Caenorhabditis elegans: one gene and its partners. The protein of the gene in region 1 purifies or fractionates together with the protein of each later gene. This does not show direct contact. Each region holds a gene or a part of one and is shown in the gene's direction. Other genes may lie near its edges.

Region 1 (4,583 bases):
TTTAGAGTAGAAAAAAAGATTGTGATACGAGATTTATCAGAGACTAATTTATTCGAATATATTGCTGATCAAAACTTATTATGGCTTGATGAGGGCGAGGAAAAAAGTTTTGAAGGATATTCTAAAATTCCAGCTTTCGAACAAGTTTCGAAGAAACTTGCGGTGAGTATCAAATATTTAAATTGATCAGAACACTCGCTTAAGATTAAATCTTATTTGAGGCTATCGGAAATGATAGAACTGCAATCTGTGAAACTGATACTTTAATTGGGCAGCAAGTATTATGCGGGCTCCAAGAGAAATTTAATGATGAATCGTGAGGTTCATTATTAACTACGAAATATGAATATTGTGCTTTTCAGAGTGTGTGATAGTGATTCACTAACATATTTTGCGGATATCGACGATTTGAAACGAGAAAATGAGTTGAATGCAAACTTTACGAATTGGAAATTATTATTTCCAAGACAGGATCCAATTGAACGATTTGTAGATCATTTTATGGATGCGTGTGTTAGGTAAAACAAATTATATTTTCGTGTAGCACATAAACCTAGAGATGTACATACCTATACAACTGAACGATCAGATATCGACGAAACTACAAAAGTATAAAGTTTAAGGTCATATAAAATTTCAGAGAAGATCGTTCTTGCTTCAATTGCAAGTTGGATCTGAGATGTTATCTTATTCAAATCTGGACACAACTCACACAAATACATTCAAAAACTAAAAAAGTGGATGAAGATCATATGAAATACGTACCACAAAATTGGTTTTGTGAAATGGAAGAGATGAATCAAAAATTCACTTTTGTAGATTACTCGCTTTTTGCAAAACCAACTAATCCGGCGTATGCAGAAATGCTTGTGAGTTAGAGTTTCTAGACATACAAAATTAGCTTAAAACGTTTTTATTTTTTAACATTTAAGCGGCCTGACAGAATAGACAACGACGGATTATTAGCTGATTCTCTTTCTTCCTACGAGAAAATCAGCAGTTTTTATAAATCATTCATTTACTCAAGAGCTGATGTCTTGGATTTGTTCACTAAAGTTTATTATTACGACTATATGGTATTGCAAATACCTCTACCACAGTTGAAGGATGCGGAAGTTCGAGATTATAGAGAAGGATGGCATTGAATAAATCTATGGAACATTTTTCATTATTAAATTATCAAAATTTTCAAAAAATGAATTTCCTTTTTTTTGGAACGTGCAAAAATCCATTAATTGCCTTGAATCTAATCAATGTTTTACAAAACGCATGTTTTTGAGCAAAATAATATTTTTCAAAGCTTTCAAATCATGAGAATTCAATTAAAAAAGGATAAACAAACAGGAAAAAAGTTGAAAATAAAAAATTTCCCGCATGCACCAGAAACGCGTCAATAAAATCGTCAAACGCGCAAGCGTTACTCTTCAAGGCGCAACAACGGGGTTCCACTCGTCAATTTTTGTGTTGAAATTTGAATTTTTCACGTGATTTTAACTGTCTGAAATTGTTATCTATAAATATATATTTTCCATTTATTATTGTTTTGAAAAAAGAATAAAGAAACATTACCTTTTTAAACTTCCAATACCTTGCCTTTCTCGGCTCTTCGAGAAGAAATCTACAGTTTTCCATTTCTTCTCTACTCTTTGTGAAAAATCTGTTGTGTCTTGAAAAAACCTATTGTGAAATACCACTATGTCGTCAAAAAATGATTAGGAAGCCGAAGAAAACCACAGGGACTGAATCTCCTACAAGAATTATCGATTTTTCTCCAAACTGTTTTTATGGTGCTCTCGATTTAAAACGCGTTTAATTCTATGCTTAAACAAATTAAAGCATTTCAAATTTCAGTTCAAAATGGTTTTGGCCGATTTGGGGCGGAAAATCCGAAATGCGATCGGAAAGCTCGGTCAGAGCACCGTTATCAATGAGGGGGAGCTGGATTTGATGCTGAAAGAAGTCTGTACAGCTCTTATTGAATCTGATGTTCATATTCGTCTTGTAAAGCAACTTAAGGACAACGTGAAGTAAATTTTTACGCTATTTAAGATTTAAATTTAATAAATATTTTCAGAAAAGCGATTAATTTCGAAGAGATCGTCGGAGGAGCAAACAAACGTCGGTACATTCAGAAGACAGTATTCAATGAACTGCTGAAGCTTGTGGATCCTGGTGTAACTCCTTTCACACCAACAAAAGGACGTCGCAACGTTTTCATGTTTGTTGGTCTTCAAGGTTCCGGTAAAACTACGACTTGTACCAAGGTTCGTTCCATGAATTACAATAGAAAGCTCACACACCATCAAACATTATATTTTTTAATTAGTAAACTTCCAACAACTTTTCAACACTTTTCAAGTTCAGATGGCGTATTACTACCAAAGAAAAGGATGGAAAACATGTCTGATCTGTGCCGATACATTCCGTGCTGGAGCTTTTGATCAATTAAAGCAAAATGCCACAAAAGCTCGTATTCCCTTCTATGGATCATACTCTGAAATTGACCCCGTAAAAATTGCCGCCGAAGGAGTAGAAAAATTCACGGTAATTTATCACAGAAAAATGGTTTAATAATATTTGTTTTGCAGCAAGAAGGGTTCGAAATCATCATTGTTGATACATCAGGTCGTCACAAGCAAGAAGCTTCACTTTTCGAAGAAATGCTCCAAGTTTCCAACGCAGTTACACCAGATAATGTTGTTTTTGTGATGGATGCTTCTATTGGACAAGCTTGTGAAGCCCAAGCACGTGCTTTCTCTCAAACTGTTGATGTTGCCAGTGTTATCATTACAAAGTTGGATTCTCATGCTAAAGGAGGAGGAGCTCTTTCTGCGTGAGTTTTTACTTCGAGATCCTTTATCGTTTTGAAATTGCTCAAATACTTTTTTCAGTGTCGCTGTCACCAAATCCCCAGTAATCTTCATCGGAACAGGAGAACATATTGATGACTTTGAGATTTTCAAGCCAAAATCATTTGTTCAAAAGCTTCTAGGAATGGGAGATATTGCTGGCCTTGTTGATATGGTCAATGATATTGGAATTCAGGATAATAAAGAATTGGTGGGAAGACTGAAACAAGGTAAATTTGATTTCAAAAATTTCAAAAACTGAAAAGAACATTTCCAGGACAATTCACTCTTCGCGACATGTATGAGCAATTCCAAAACATTATGAAAATGGGACCTTTCAGTCAAATTATGGTTCGTTTCAATGTTTTATAACGATACCTGAATACTTATTTATTTCAGGGTATGATTCCTGGTTTTGGATCAGAATTTATGACAAAGGGAAACGAGCAAGAATCCGTCAACAGGCTGAAGAGAATGATGACTGTGATGGATTCTATGAGTGATAAGGAATTGGATCATCCAAAAGCATCTGAGCTCTTTACAAAAGAACCAAATAGAGTTGCCAGAGTTGCCAGAGGATCGGGATCTCATCAACAAGAAGTTCGAGATCTTCTCGCTCAGTACAAGAAATTCTCTGATGTTGTTAAGAAGATTGGATCAATTAAAGGACTCTTCAATGTAAAGTTTTGTTCCTATTCGACAAATTGAAATTTTGTAATTTCAATAATTATTTCTAATGAATTCATTTTGCAGGGCAAAAACGGTGATATAAACCCAAAAAATATGAATCCAGCGAAAATGGCTCAATTGAATCAACAAATGGCAAAAATGATGGATCCACGTGTGTTGCAGCAGATGGGTGGTATGGGAGGCCTTCAAAATATGATGCAGCAGATGGCAAGAGCTGGAAAAATGTGAAGAAATGGATGCAATTATTTTCTGTAGTTTTTGAAATGCCTGTTCCCAGTTCCCACAATTCATTCTGACTAAAACGTTTTTTAATAATATCAATATGATTTCTCGATTTCCCTTTCATCAGAATGTTTCCCAAGTTCATTTTTTGTCTAGCAGATTCTGTGATTCTAATTAGAAACAATTTAGTTAAAGAATAATTTATTTATTTCTTTTTTCCCTTTTGAATTTTCCTGAATTAAACTCGTTTTTTCCCTTGGCTCATCGGTGTAAATATTCACATTTAAAAATGACTGAAAAACATATGCCTGTTTATTTTCTATCTCATTGTTCTCGTTTTTTGACGAATTTCGAACTATTTTCCATAAGTTTAGATCAATTACAAATTGTAATAAATCAGTTTCAGAACAAGAATGCCACCAAAAACTAGAAAAACAAAAAAAGAAGACGTCGAGGAAGAGGCTGTTGAAGAGATTTTAGAAGAAACTAAACCTGCAAAATTACCAGAATCCGATGAGAGTTATTCGAGAAAAGTTGTCATTTCCAAAGGTGATTTCCTTTATTTAATTTCAAAAATGAATGTTTTTGTTTTCAGAGGGCAATTTGCCAAATAGCCGAATCATCAAACTGCGGCACCCGAAGGAAGGACTAGCGCTGTTCAGAATCTCCGAAACGTGCTTTGATGAGGTAAAAATATTGGTCAAGCTTTCACAAAAAACCTGAATAAACTTTTAAATGAGAATAAACTTACAAAATTTATGCAGATTTTCGCTGTCAACGACGGTCATCGATCATTCTTCTACGGTGAGAGTGTAATCGAAA
Region 2 (4,923 bases), on another chromosome or scaffold:
GTAGAATTTCGTCATTGGTTAGTATTAGAATTGAAAAAATAACGAAATAATTGGGAAATTTAAAAAAATTCCCCTCACGTTTCATAGTCCCTAAATCTGAGAGTTCTCGCCGCCAATGGTTGAATATCGTGTTCCAAAGAGTCTTGTACAGCTGTCCGAATACTACTATTCCACATAATATCACAATCATTAATTCGATGATAACTGATAATTGAATGAGTTATTCGTTGCTCCCGTGTATCCCAAATCATTGTAAATATCTCGTTGTCCAGCGAGATGACGTCATCGGTGAAGTTTCGCATCGCAACTCCGTCCACTGACTTTTCTTCGATTAATCGGGGAATCCATTGGTTAGAGTTGGTGGTGACTGGGTCGACGAGAAGTTTTGGAAGTGAGAATTTACTAAAAAAAAGAATTAAAATTAGAATAATTCTGTAGACATCCACAAATCACCTGTTTTTCAGTCGATGAAAACTTGAAAGTTTATAATCGTCTACTTTATCCTCCTTCTTTTCAAAGTCAATTAGAACACCATCAGCTCCTGAACATCGATTTTTTATATATCGATCACTGGGAAAGAATCTGAAATCACTGATATAATAGAGACATTGCATTGTTGACATACCTTGTCAGTCGAACTCGAATCAACGATCTGATCTTCATTTTTTGTGTTAGTTGGTTAGTCGTTAGTAGATTATAAATTCGGTAATAAATTTATAGTGGTAGAAATTAATGAGAATTATATCCACGAATCCGCGTGTACTGCGGAAATATTCATTTTATATTTATAAAAAATGTTACAAGTGAGATCAAATTTTTTTTTAATGTATCATAGAAGAGAAGCGCCAAATCAATAGAATGCTGCACATTTTACCGCATCCAATCGTTCCATTTTCTGAATTTGAAATAATTATTCATAGCTCCATAACGGTTGAGTAACGTGAATGATAATTCTGTTTTAAATTATTAAGACTAATTCCCCTATTTGAATTCCCTCCAAAATAAGAACTGCAAGACTAGCGATTTGATTTGAGCAATTTGCATCGCCTACTTTCCAACCAATCAAATTAAGTGTGCGAAGTTCGAAGTCGCCTACCTACCATATACTTCCCATCGGGTCTCTTAACAATCATTGGCTTGAACGAAACTTCTCTACAAACTCTCGTTGGTGGCGACAGAAACCGTCTTGTCATTTTGCCACGTAGCAATAGATCCGCCAATGCTTCAGGAATCTGATTTGATTTCAGTGCTTCTGATGGAATACTTCCAAAGCATCGATGAAATGCCTGTGGGACTCCATCAATGTCTTCGAATTGGAACTTCCATAGACAACATGGTTGTTCTCTGAATTTTAAAAAAATGATTATGATTAATGATTGAGTATAAGTTCCTGAGCCAGTTGGGCAACCTACATTCCAAGAGAAGGATCGCACTCCTTTCCAAATGTGATCCTTGGAAGTATGGACTTTGTGTCAAGGATTGCTCGAGCATCCAGATTCCGTGGTAGAAGATATCGATTGTTCCAAAAATCATCGAGAACCACTAGAATCTCTCTGATCCTAGACCTCTCATTATATGAATTTACGATAGAAGTTGTCCGAAATCTGGCATTTTCTCCCCAATCCATCGGTTTTGTTTCAATTGGGTGAATTTTTAGAAACGTCTCACCTGAATCAAGAGGATGTGATGAAGATCTTAAATCTCTGCAGTTCACCTTCATAACATACGTACATCAGTGGAGACCTACTTCCAGGGTCTCTGAACCATCGATCAGGAATATGAATTGTTAAACTGAACACGTGGGTTACTGTAGTTATATTTATATTTCTCACTTAACAACAGGAATCGGTATCTGTTTGATAGGGTTGAAGTGTATTCCATCTCGAAAATGAATCGGAACATGGAAGAATTGTTTCCTGGCTAGAGATCCACAAAAGTTCGAGACGTTGTCACCGGTAATCCGATCTCCGAGAAGAACAATCTGTAAGAGGTCTCATCTGGGAGAAGCTTATTTCAGTAGTTACCTTCTGTTCAGACTCTGCGATTCCTTGACTATAATAGTCGATCCCTTCAAGATTCTGATGAATTGCATCCGAAAATGCTTCTTTAACAACTTCGTGCAAATGAAAACGTAATTCGTTTTGATCATCATACTGAAACTTCGGAAAGATTTTAAGTATTACCCCGATCCAAATGTTTCGAATTAAAGTTATAAATACGGTACCCGGTTTCGACACGATTTTTGTCAAACTCGAGGAAACTACAGTAGTCCTTAAAGGCGCATACTAATAGCGCAAAATCTCAACCTTCGCTTACCAACTTACCCGCACACCTTCCTTTCTCTGCGAATCAATAATAAAATTCGAAATCGGCGTCATCATTCTATAACCAGTACAATGAATAATCAAACTAAATAGAAAGGCAGCTTGAAACATTTCTTTAATCTTCTCGCAACGAAATGTGCTCCGGCTCTCCAGGCTTATCAGTGTTAGAAGAGAAGAGAAGGATAAAACAACAATAAAAACAGTTTTCATTTGTCTCGTTTCTTGCTTCTTCCCCCACGATCTGCTGATCTGAAAATGCATTCTTTCAGTATGAAACGAGTTGTTGCGTCATCATCAGTAGCTGCTGTAGCAACATGTGACGTGGAAGGTACTGTAGTTGCCTGGAGACGTGACGTGGAATTAATTCGAAAAATGAGAAAGGATATGATTGCACCTGTGGATACGATGGGATGTCATAAGCTTGCAGATCCTTTGGCAGCTCCGCCGGTCTGTGTGGCTCTGGGATTCATTAACAAGACGCAGCGATTTTTGAGCCAGAAGTACGGTATTCGGTCTTGACATGATAAATTTTCGCTAAATGCAAAAAGGTGTGCGCCTTTAAATAGTACTGTAATTCAAAACTTTAGCTGCTATCAAATTTTAATCGATTTTTCATACATCAAATTTGAATAAAAACTGAAAAATCGATGAAAATCCCGCATCAACGACAGTTTGACATTACAGTACTCTTTGAAGGCGCACGCCTTTTAGCATTTGACAAAAATTTGTCGTGTCAAGCTTGTCTTGATCAAGACCGGGTACCGTATATTAAAATTCGCAACGCTTTGCGTCTGAGTGATATCTGATTTTTTTAAAAATAAAATCTGCGAGTTCCAGGTTCATCGATTTCAAGTTCTTGTTGCCCTGATGCTTTCCAGTCAAACCAGAGATGAAGTCAATGCGGCGGCGATGAAAGTTCGAAAAATATAAATTTTGATTTCAAGCATTTTTTATATTTACAGAGACTCAAGGATCATGGCTTGTCAATCGGGAAAATTCTCGAATTCAAAGTACCAGACTTGGAGACGATTTTGTGTCCTGTTGGATTTTATAAAGTACGGTAACTCGAAATTTAAAATGCAAAAAGGTGTGCGCCTTCAAAGAGTACTGTAGTTTCAGAATTTGCGGAATTTTTATTGTTTTTTTTTCGGTTTTTTTTTTTCAATAAAATTGTTTACAATCAAGGGAAAACTGAAAAATCGATGAAAATTCCGCAGCAACGAGAGTTTGAAATTACAGTACTCTTTAAATACGCACATCTTTTTGTATTTACCAGAAATTGTCGTTTCGAGACCGGGTACTGTATTTTTGGTGTAAAATTTCGCATCTTGGTAATAATCTAAACATTTTCTTTCCAGAGAAAGGCCGTGTACCTTCAAAAGACTGCAAAAATTCTGAAAGATGATTTTTCTGGCGATATCCCTGATTCCCTGGACGGACTGTGCGCACTGCCAGGAGTTGGCCCAAAAATGGCGAATCTCGTCATGCAAATTGCTTGGGGAGAATGTGTGGGAATTGCAGTCGACACACATGTTCACAGAATTTCTAATCGACTCGGTAAATATTTTTTAATTTCATTTTAAAAATGAATTTTTGAATTTCTAGGCTGGATCAAGACCAGCACCCCAGAAAAGACACAAAAAGCGCTTGAAATTCTACTTCCAAAGTCGGAATGGCAACCAATTAATCATCTTCTCGTTGGATTCGGTCAGATGCAATGCCAACCAGTTCGTCCGAAATGTGGAACTTGTCTCTGTAGATTTACGTGCCCCAGTTCCACAGCTAAAAATGTGAAGAGCGAGACTGAAGAGGTTTATACCTTTTTATAAATAAAAGACAAGCGGATTTTTTTTCAGACTTCCACAAGTATCGAGGTTAAACAAGAAGTTGAGGATGAATTTGAAGATGAAAAACCTGCGAAAAAGATTAAGAAAACCAGAAAAACTAGAACCAAGATTGAAGTGAAAACTGAATCGGAAACGTAGCAAAGCAAGTGTCAAGCAGAAAATCGATAACTGATCTCTAACATACATTATACATGAATGAATAAATTAATGTTTTTATTTAAATAAAACTGGCAATTCATCTGGTTTCCTATGTTTCATGAAACACAGAAGATCCAATAAATCCATTATATAAATATTGATGCACTTTGCGCGTCATATTCACTGTCTGTACGTGAGCGTGTTTGCGGAATGTGAGGCGCGGGCGCCAAAAATTTTCAAATTTGAATCGCATCGTTTTACCGCATTCTGTTTTATTTCCATATTTTCATCCTTTTTCTATTGTTTTTTCTTGTTTTCTTCATAATTTTTTTTCATTTTGAAGAAGAAAACTGAGTTTTCCTTCTCAAAACATAATACTGATTGTCATATCCTTGTTTCAATGGTTTAAAATTTCAGTAATCCACTAACACCAATATGTCTAACCTCGACAACCCCGGAATCTACTATCAGGAACGATTCTTTGCGAATGACGGAGTTCCAGATACTGGAAGAGAGTTGATCGCTGAATATCGTCAGCTTATCACTCAATTCCGCAATTTTATCCGTGATTTTTCCACTGGAGGCTTCGGAATGATTTACAGGTTTGTGCAATT
Region 3 (6,158 bases), on another chromosome or scaffold:
TCAGGCAATTTTTTTGGAATTTTTAACTTTTTTTTTTGAGAAATCTATGAAATTCGCGATTTTAATGCCATTTTCCCCTCGAAAAAAAAATCATTTTTATCCCAATTTTTTCAGGGTAACGTCTCCCTCTGGAAGCCATCGAACACCGCCGTGCTCTCCAATTATATAATCTACGAACTCCTCGAGGAAGCTGGTATGCCACCTGGAATTCTCTCATTCTTGCCATCAGATGGCCCCGTTTTCGGTGACGTCATCACCGCATCTCCACACTTGAGCGCTGTCAATTTCACTGGCTCCGTGCCAACTTTCAAGACGATTTGGAGAAAAGTCGCCGAGAATTTGGATAACTATGTGACTTTTCCGAAACTCATCGGAGAATGCGGCGGAAAAAACTTCCACTTTGTGCATCCATCCGCCCACGTGGACGCTGTCGCCGCTGGAACCGCCCGTTCCGCCTGGGAATATTCGGGACAAAAGTGCTCGGCGTGCTCCAGGATGTACGCGCCAAAATCGATTTGGCCAAAGATTCTCGAGAAAATCTCGGCGATTCACAAAGAGATCAAGCTTGGAGATGTAGGCCACTGTTTGGCTTGCCGATTTTTGTGTAGTTTGTAGTTTACAGGTTCGCGATGGATCCGTCTTTCTGTCGGCTGTGATCGATGATAAGGCGTTTGCCAGGCTCAAGGCCTACATTGACTTTGCGAAAACCGGAGCCGACGGAGCAAATGTGGTGCTCGGCGGAAAATGTGACGACAAAACGGGATACTTCATCGAGCCGACCCTGATCACTGTGACGGATCCGAAGAGCAAGCTTCTCACTGAGGAAATGTTCGGACCGGTGGTGACGGTACTGGTCTACGAGGATTCGAAGGTTGATGAGGTGCTCGCGACTGTGAAAGACGCGACACCTTATGGGCTGACTGGCGCCGTTTTTTCGCAGGATAAGGAGTTCCTTTATAGGTTGGCAACTACAAAAAATACAAGTTTTTGCACAGGTTTTCAGGGACTCAAAAATTTTATCTAAAAACCCAGCGGAAAGAAGAAAAACTCGAATTTTCGGGTTTGTTATGTTCAAAAATGCTGAAATTCAACATTTTAGGCACAAGAAAACTGCCAAAAGTCGATTTAAAATTATTCCCGGAAAATTCGAAATCTTGAAATTCTGTTTTTTCGGCAATTTTCAAGAAATTTCTCTATAACCGAACAAAATAGGTTAAAAAATGTCGAAAAACGATAATTACACAATTTCTCCAATAAAAACCCTCGAATTTCGTCACAAATCAAATGAAAAGCTAGAAAAACTGGCAAAAATCGAAAAAAAAAAGCGATAACAACAAACAAAAAATTTGAAAGCGACAGTAAGATGTTCCTGAGCGTGGCGAGACCCAACAGTGAAAGTGTGTGTCCCTTTAAAGGGCTACGGTATTTTTTATTGGAATTTTTGTTGGATTTCGATCGATTTTTCGAGATTTTTGAGGCGAATTTTTGTGTTAAAAACGTTTTTCAACAAAGTGTTTTTTTTTCTCAGAGCTCGCGATGTTCTCCGCGACGCCGTCGGCAACATGTACCTCAACGACAAATCAACTGGATCAATCGTCGGCCAGCAGCCATTCGGAGGCTCCAGATTGTCCGGAACCAATGATAAGGCCGGTGGCCCCCACTATGGGCTCCGATGGACCTCGCCGCTGACGATTAAGGAGACGTCGGTGTCATTGACTGACTGGAAATATCCATCAATGGAATAATTATGTTGTTTTTTTCTTTTCATTTCCGATTTTTCTCATATTGAGAATATAGTTTTCTTTTTGATTAGGTCAACAATTATTGCTTTACCACTGAATTTTAATTTTTTTTCCCCCGTGATCGCATAATAAATTTTGTTTTTTTTCCTTTTTTCCAGCTATAACCGTTTATTTTATAGTTTTCTCGCTATTTTTATACCTTCCAACCGAACTTTTCCATTAAAAAGTTGGAAAAAATCAATATTTTTCAGAAATTTCCCTCCCGAAAATGGTTGAAACCGAGTGGACGCAAGTCTCTTACGATGGTAACATTCTACAATATTCAAATTTTGAAAAAAAAATCGATAAATGCTTGCAGAAGGACGTCAAGCGCTGAAAAAGTGGCGAGAATGCGGAGTTCGACGAAGTGATGAGGTCGTCGAAATTTGGGAGCACGTTATTTCACGCTCACCGGCTTCTCTTGGAGACGAGCAATGGGCTGTGTTGGAGCAGGTGCTGAAATTTTGTCGAAAAACGCTGAAAATCCTGAAAATCTGGCTTTGAATAGAAAAAAACCATAGATTTTCTGGTTTTTTTGGTGAAAAGCATATTGGTCTGCTAGACTACAAACTACAGTATTATATTTAGCAGACCCACGCTTTTTTCTAAGTTATCACGTTTCTGGTTGATTAATAGTGAAAATAATACAAATTTCGGCGAAAAACTGGAAAAAATCAATAAAAACGGTCATTTTTTACTGAAAAAATGATTATTTTCGAGAAAAAATTCAATAATTTGGGTCTGCTAGACTACAAACTACAAATTCATATTTAGCAGACCCAAGTGGTTTCGATGAAATTTGGTCTGCTAGGCTACAAACTACAAATTCATATTTAGCAGACCAATGTAGTTTTGAGGAGATTTGGTCTGCTAGACTACAAACTACAAGCTTCGATTTAGCATACCCATACTCATTTTTCACGAGAAAATCGAATTTTCACCTAATTTTTCCAATTTTTTTCAGGTGTGCATCGCAGCACTCGACGCGGCTCGTGTCGATCTGGCTCAGGATTGCATTGACCAACTTCACGCACAATTTCCGAAGAGTAATCGAGTTTTGAAGCTGAAAGCGATGCAGTTGGAATCTACGGAACATTATCAGAAGGCGTTGGATATTTATGAGCGACTGGTTGAGGATGAGCCCAATAATAATGTAAAAAATTCAGGAAATTTTTTTTTTGCAAAATTTCTAATAATTTGAATTTTCAGAGCTTCCGCAAGCGAAAAGTCGCGGTTCTTCTCGCTCAGGGAAAGCGTCTCGACGCAATTCGAGCTATCAACGATTACCTGAAGGTTTTCATTTGATTTCTAGAAAAAAAAAACTCTAAAATTTATTAATTTTCAGATTTTCCTGAACGACCCAGAAGCTTGGCTTCAGCTCAGCGAGCTTTTCCTGCTCGAAAATGACGTGGCAAAGGCGGTACATTGCCTGGAGGAGTGTGTGCTCATTTCGCCGCTGAATTCCATGTATTTCAGACGATTAGCCGATTTGAGATATACTCAAGTATGTGTGTGGAAAATTGGAGAAATTTGGGCCTGCTGGGGGCTACAAACTACAATTCATATTTAGCAGACCCAAATACATTTTCAATGGAAATTGGTTTTTTCTCGTTTTTCTACTTTTTTTTTTGAAGAAAAAAAATCGAAAATTGTCAGTTTTCCGTCAAAAAAATGTCAGAAAAACAAATTTTCAACGAAAATATATTATTTTAATGCAAAAAATGAAGAAATTTTTAAAAAATATAGAGAAATTACCGAAAATGATTGAAAATTGATTTTTTTTAAGGAAAACTAAAAAAAATTGAACGGTCTGCTACAATGCAAACTACAAAGTACAATGTTCGATTTAGCAGACCCAAGTGATTTTGAAAAAATTGGTCTGCTGGACTACAAACTACAAGTTTCGATTTAGCAGACCCAAGTGATTTCAATTCGAAATTGGTCTGCTAGACTACAAACTACAATGTTCGATTTAGCAGACCCAAGTGATTTTGAAAAAAATTGGTCTGCTAGACTAAAAACTACAATGTTCGATTTAGCAGACCCAAGTGATTTTGAAAAAAATTGGTCTGCTAGACTACAAACTACAATGTTCGATTTAGCAGACCCAAGTGATTTTGAAAAACTTGGTCTGCTGGACTACAAACTACAAGTTTCGATTTAGCAGACCCAAGTGATTTTGAAAAAATTGGTCTGCTGGACTACAAACTACATATTCATATTTGGCAGACCCAAGTGATTTTGAAAAAAATTGGTCTGCTAGACTACAAACTACAATGTTCGATTTAGCAGACCCAAGTGATTTTGAAAAACTTGGTCTGCTGGACTACAAACTACAAATTTCGATTTAGCAGACCCATGTGATTTTGAAGAAATTCGGTCTGCTAGACTACAAACTACATATTCATATTTGGCAGACCCAAGTGATTTTGAAAAAAATTGGTCTGCTAGACTACAAACTACAATGTTCGATTTAGCAGACCCAAGTGATTTCAATTCGAAATTGGTCTGCTAGACTAAAAACTACAATGTTCGATTTAGCAGACCCAAGTGATTTTGAAAAAAATTGGTCTGCTAGACTACAAACTACAATGTTCGATTTAGCAGACCCAAGTGATTTCAATTCGAAATTGGTCTGCTAGACTAAAAACTACAATGTTCGATTTAGCAGACCCAAGTGATTTTGAAAAAAATTGGTCTGCTAGACTACAAACTACAATGTTCGATTTAGCAGACCCAAGTGATTTCAATTCGAAATTGGTCTGCTAGACTAAAAACTACAATGTTCGATTTAGCAGACCCAAGTGATTTTGAAAAAAATTGGTCTGCTAAACTACAAACTACAATGTTCGATTTAGCAGACCCAAGTGATTTCAATTCGAAATTGGTCTGCTAGACTAAAAACTACAATGTTCGATTTAGCAGACCCAAGTGATTTTGAAAAAAATTGGTCTGCTAGACTACAAACTACAATGTTCGATTTAGCAGACCCAAGTGATTTCAATTCGAAATTGGTCTGCTAGACTAAAAACTACAATGTTCGATTTAGCAGACCCAAGTGATTTTGAAAAACTTGGTCTGCTGGACTACAAACTACAAATTTCGATTTAGCAGACCCATGTGATTTTGAAAAAATTGGTCTGCTGGACTACAAACTACATATTCATATTTGGCAGACCCAAACTATATTTTTTGCAGGGAGGCGCCGAAAACGTGGAATTGGCTCGTTCCTACTACGAACGTGCGCTCAAAATCAACCCAACCGATTTGAGATCTCAATACGGAATTCTATTGGTAAGTGTAGTTTGTAGTTTGTAGTTTGTAGTTTGTAGTCTATATTAATGTTTCAGAGCAACAATTTGATCGCGGCGACCACCAAAAATGCGACGGAAAAGAAGAAAGCCGGAGCTGCAGCAGTTGATGCAATCGATAATTTGGTTAATCGTTATCAGAAGGTAGATTTTGATAAAATTAATAGTTTTTAATTGGAAAAAGCTCTAAAAACTCCAAAAAATGCCGAATTTCGGCTGTTTTTTCTTGAATTTTTTGAAAAAAAAATTCGAAAAAAATCGTGATTTTTCTAAAAATAACCTTAAAAAATTCCAGATAAGTCCAAAAAGCAATCCAGAATCGGACGGAATTCTCAATTGCCTCGAAGCCATGAAAGTCACTGTTGGAAGCAAATAAATTGTCAATTTCCTCCCAAAAAATGATATGCTTTACGTACATTCCCCCGAATATTCGATTATTTCCTATTTATTTTCTGTTAAAATTCAATTTTTTTAATGTCTATCGAAAGTATATTTATCGAAAAAAAGAACTCCTCAAGAATAAATAAATGTGATGATTTTTGCCACCGTTTTTGCTCCATTTTAGAGTCTTGGGTCTGCTAAATAGCTTTTTGTAGTTTGTAGTCTGGCAGACCAATTTTTGATAGCAATTTTTAGACTAAAAACTACTTTTTTCTTGAAAATCTTGAATTTTTGCGTTATTTCACATCTATTCCGGTTTTTCCGGCTCCTTTTTGGCGCTGAAATCGATAAGTTGGGTTACTGTAGCCTCAGAAGTACGCAAACACCATGCGACTCACGCAAAAATGCACAGAAACCTGAAAGATGCGCGAAAAAAGCCATACATGGGTAAAAATTTGTGTAGAATTCAATTTTTGTGTCAGAATCGTTTAAAAAATCAGTGAAAAATGATAATTTTCAGAAATGTTGAGCCAAAAAAAAATTATTGATTTTTGTGCATTATCAGTTTTAAATTTGGATTTTTATGTTTTTTCACCCATACGAGACTTTTTCGACTCCATTCGAGTTGTAATAAAAATTTCCGGGTTACTGTAGCCTCAAAAGTACGCAAACATGGAACACTTTA

What was found. Proteins that work in one complex are often made in the same cells at the same time.
Region 2: the proteins of F21D5.7 (region 1) and nth-1 fractionate together in Caenorhabditis elegans (co-fractionation; one large-scale study listed by BioGRID). This does not show direct contact.
Region 3: the proteins of F21D5.7 (region 1) and emc-2 fractionate together in Caenorhabditis elegans (co-fractionation; one large-scale study listed by BioGRID). This does not show direct contact.

Annotation. Positions count from the first base shown.
Region 1 is NC_003282.8:8,740,973-8,745,555, reverse strand, and holds F21D5.7 (Signal recognition particle 54 kDa protein), read left to right. Parts: upstream 1-1,851; 5' UTR 1,852-1,857; coding exon 1,858-2,027; intron 2,028-2,074; coding exon 2,075-2,264; intron 2,265-2,364; coding exon 2,365-2,544; intron 2,545-2,588; coding exon 2,589-2,833; intron 2,834-2,891; coding exon 2,892-3,079; intron 3,080-3,126; coding exon 3,127-3,200; intron 3,201-3,248; coding exon 3,249-3,527; intron 3,528-3,602; coding exon 3,603-3,767; 3' UTR 3,768-4,061; downstream 4,062-4,583. Other genes in the region: F20C5.7 (uncharacterized protein), read left to right, coding at 1-162, 222-316, 363-518, 641-869, 933-1,145; F21D5.6 (Ribonuclease H2 subunit B wHTH domain-containing protein), read left to right, coding at 4,175-4,310, 4,357-4,448, 4,526-4,583.
Region 2 is NC_003281.10:4,291,070-4,295,992, reverse strand, and holds nth-1 (Endonuclease III homolog), read left to right. Parts: upstream 1-1,791; 5' UTR 1,792-1,832; coding exon of another isoform or gene 1,833-1,981; 5' UTR 1,982-2,024; coding exon of another isoform or gene 2,025-2,153; 5' UTR 2,154-2,324; coding exon of another isoform or gene 2,325-2,579; coding exon 2,580-2,771; intron 2,772-3,161; coding exon 3,162-3,239; intron 3,240-3,286; coding exon 3,287-3,379; intron 3,380-3,682; coding exon 3,683-3,881; intron 3,882-3,929; coding exon 3,930-4,135; intron 4,136-4,180; coding exon 4,181-4,309; 3' UTR 4,310-4,396; downstream 4,397-4,923. Other genes in the region: R10E4.7 (GP-PDE domain-containing protein), read right to left, coding at 79-402, 454-582, 626-663; R10E4.6 (DUF1996 domain-containing protein), read right to left, coding at 851-895, 1,101-1,344, 1,413-1,668, 1,715-1,791, 1,833-1,981, 2,025-2,153, 2,325-2,585; DNA replication licensing factor mcm-5, read left to right, coding at 4,745-4,911.
Region 3 is NC_003280.10:1,301,972-1,308,129, reverse strand, and holds emc-2 (ER membrane protein complex subunit 2), read left to right. Parts: upstream 1-1,993; 5' UTR 1,994-2,010; coding exon 2,011-2,047; intron 2,048-2,100; coding exon 2,101-2,234; intron 2,235-2,578; exon of another isoform or gene 2,579-2,629; intron 2,630-2,745; coding exon 2,746-2,934; intron 2,935-2,990; coding exon 2,991-3,074; intron 3,075-3,126; coding exon 3,127-3,285; intron 3,286-4,979; coding exon 4,980-5,075; intron 5,076-5,131; coding exon 5,132-5,236; intron 5,237-5,387; coding exon 5,388-5,468; 3' UTR 5,469-5,631; downstream 5,632-6,158. Other genes in the region: alh-6 (L-glutamate gamma-semialdehyde dehydrogenase), read left to right, coding at 115-573, 623-960, 1,529-1,745.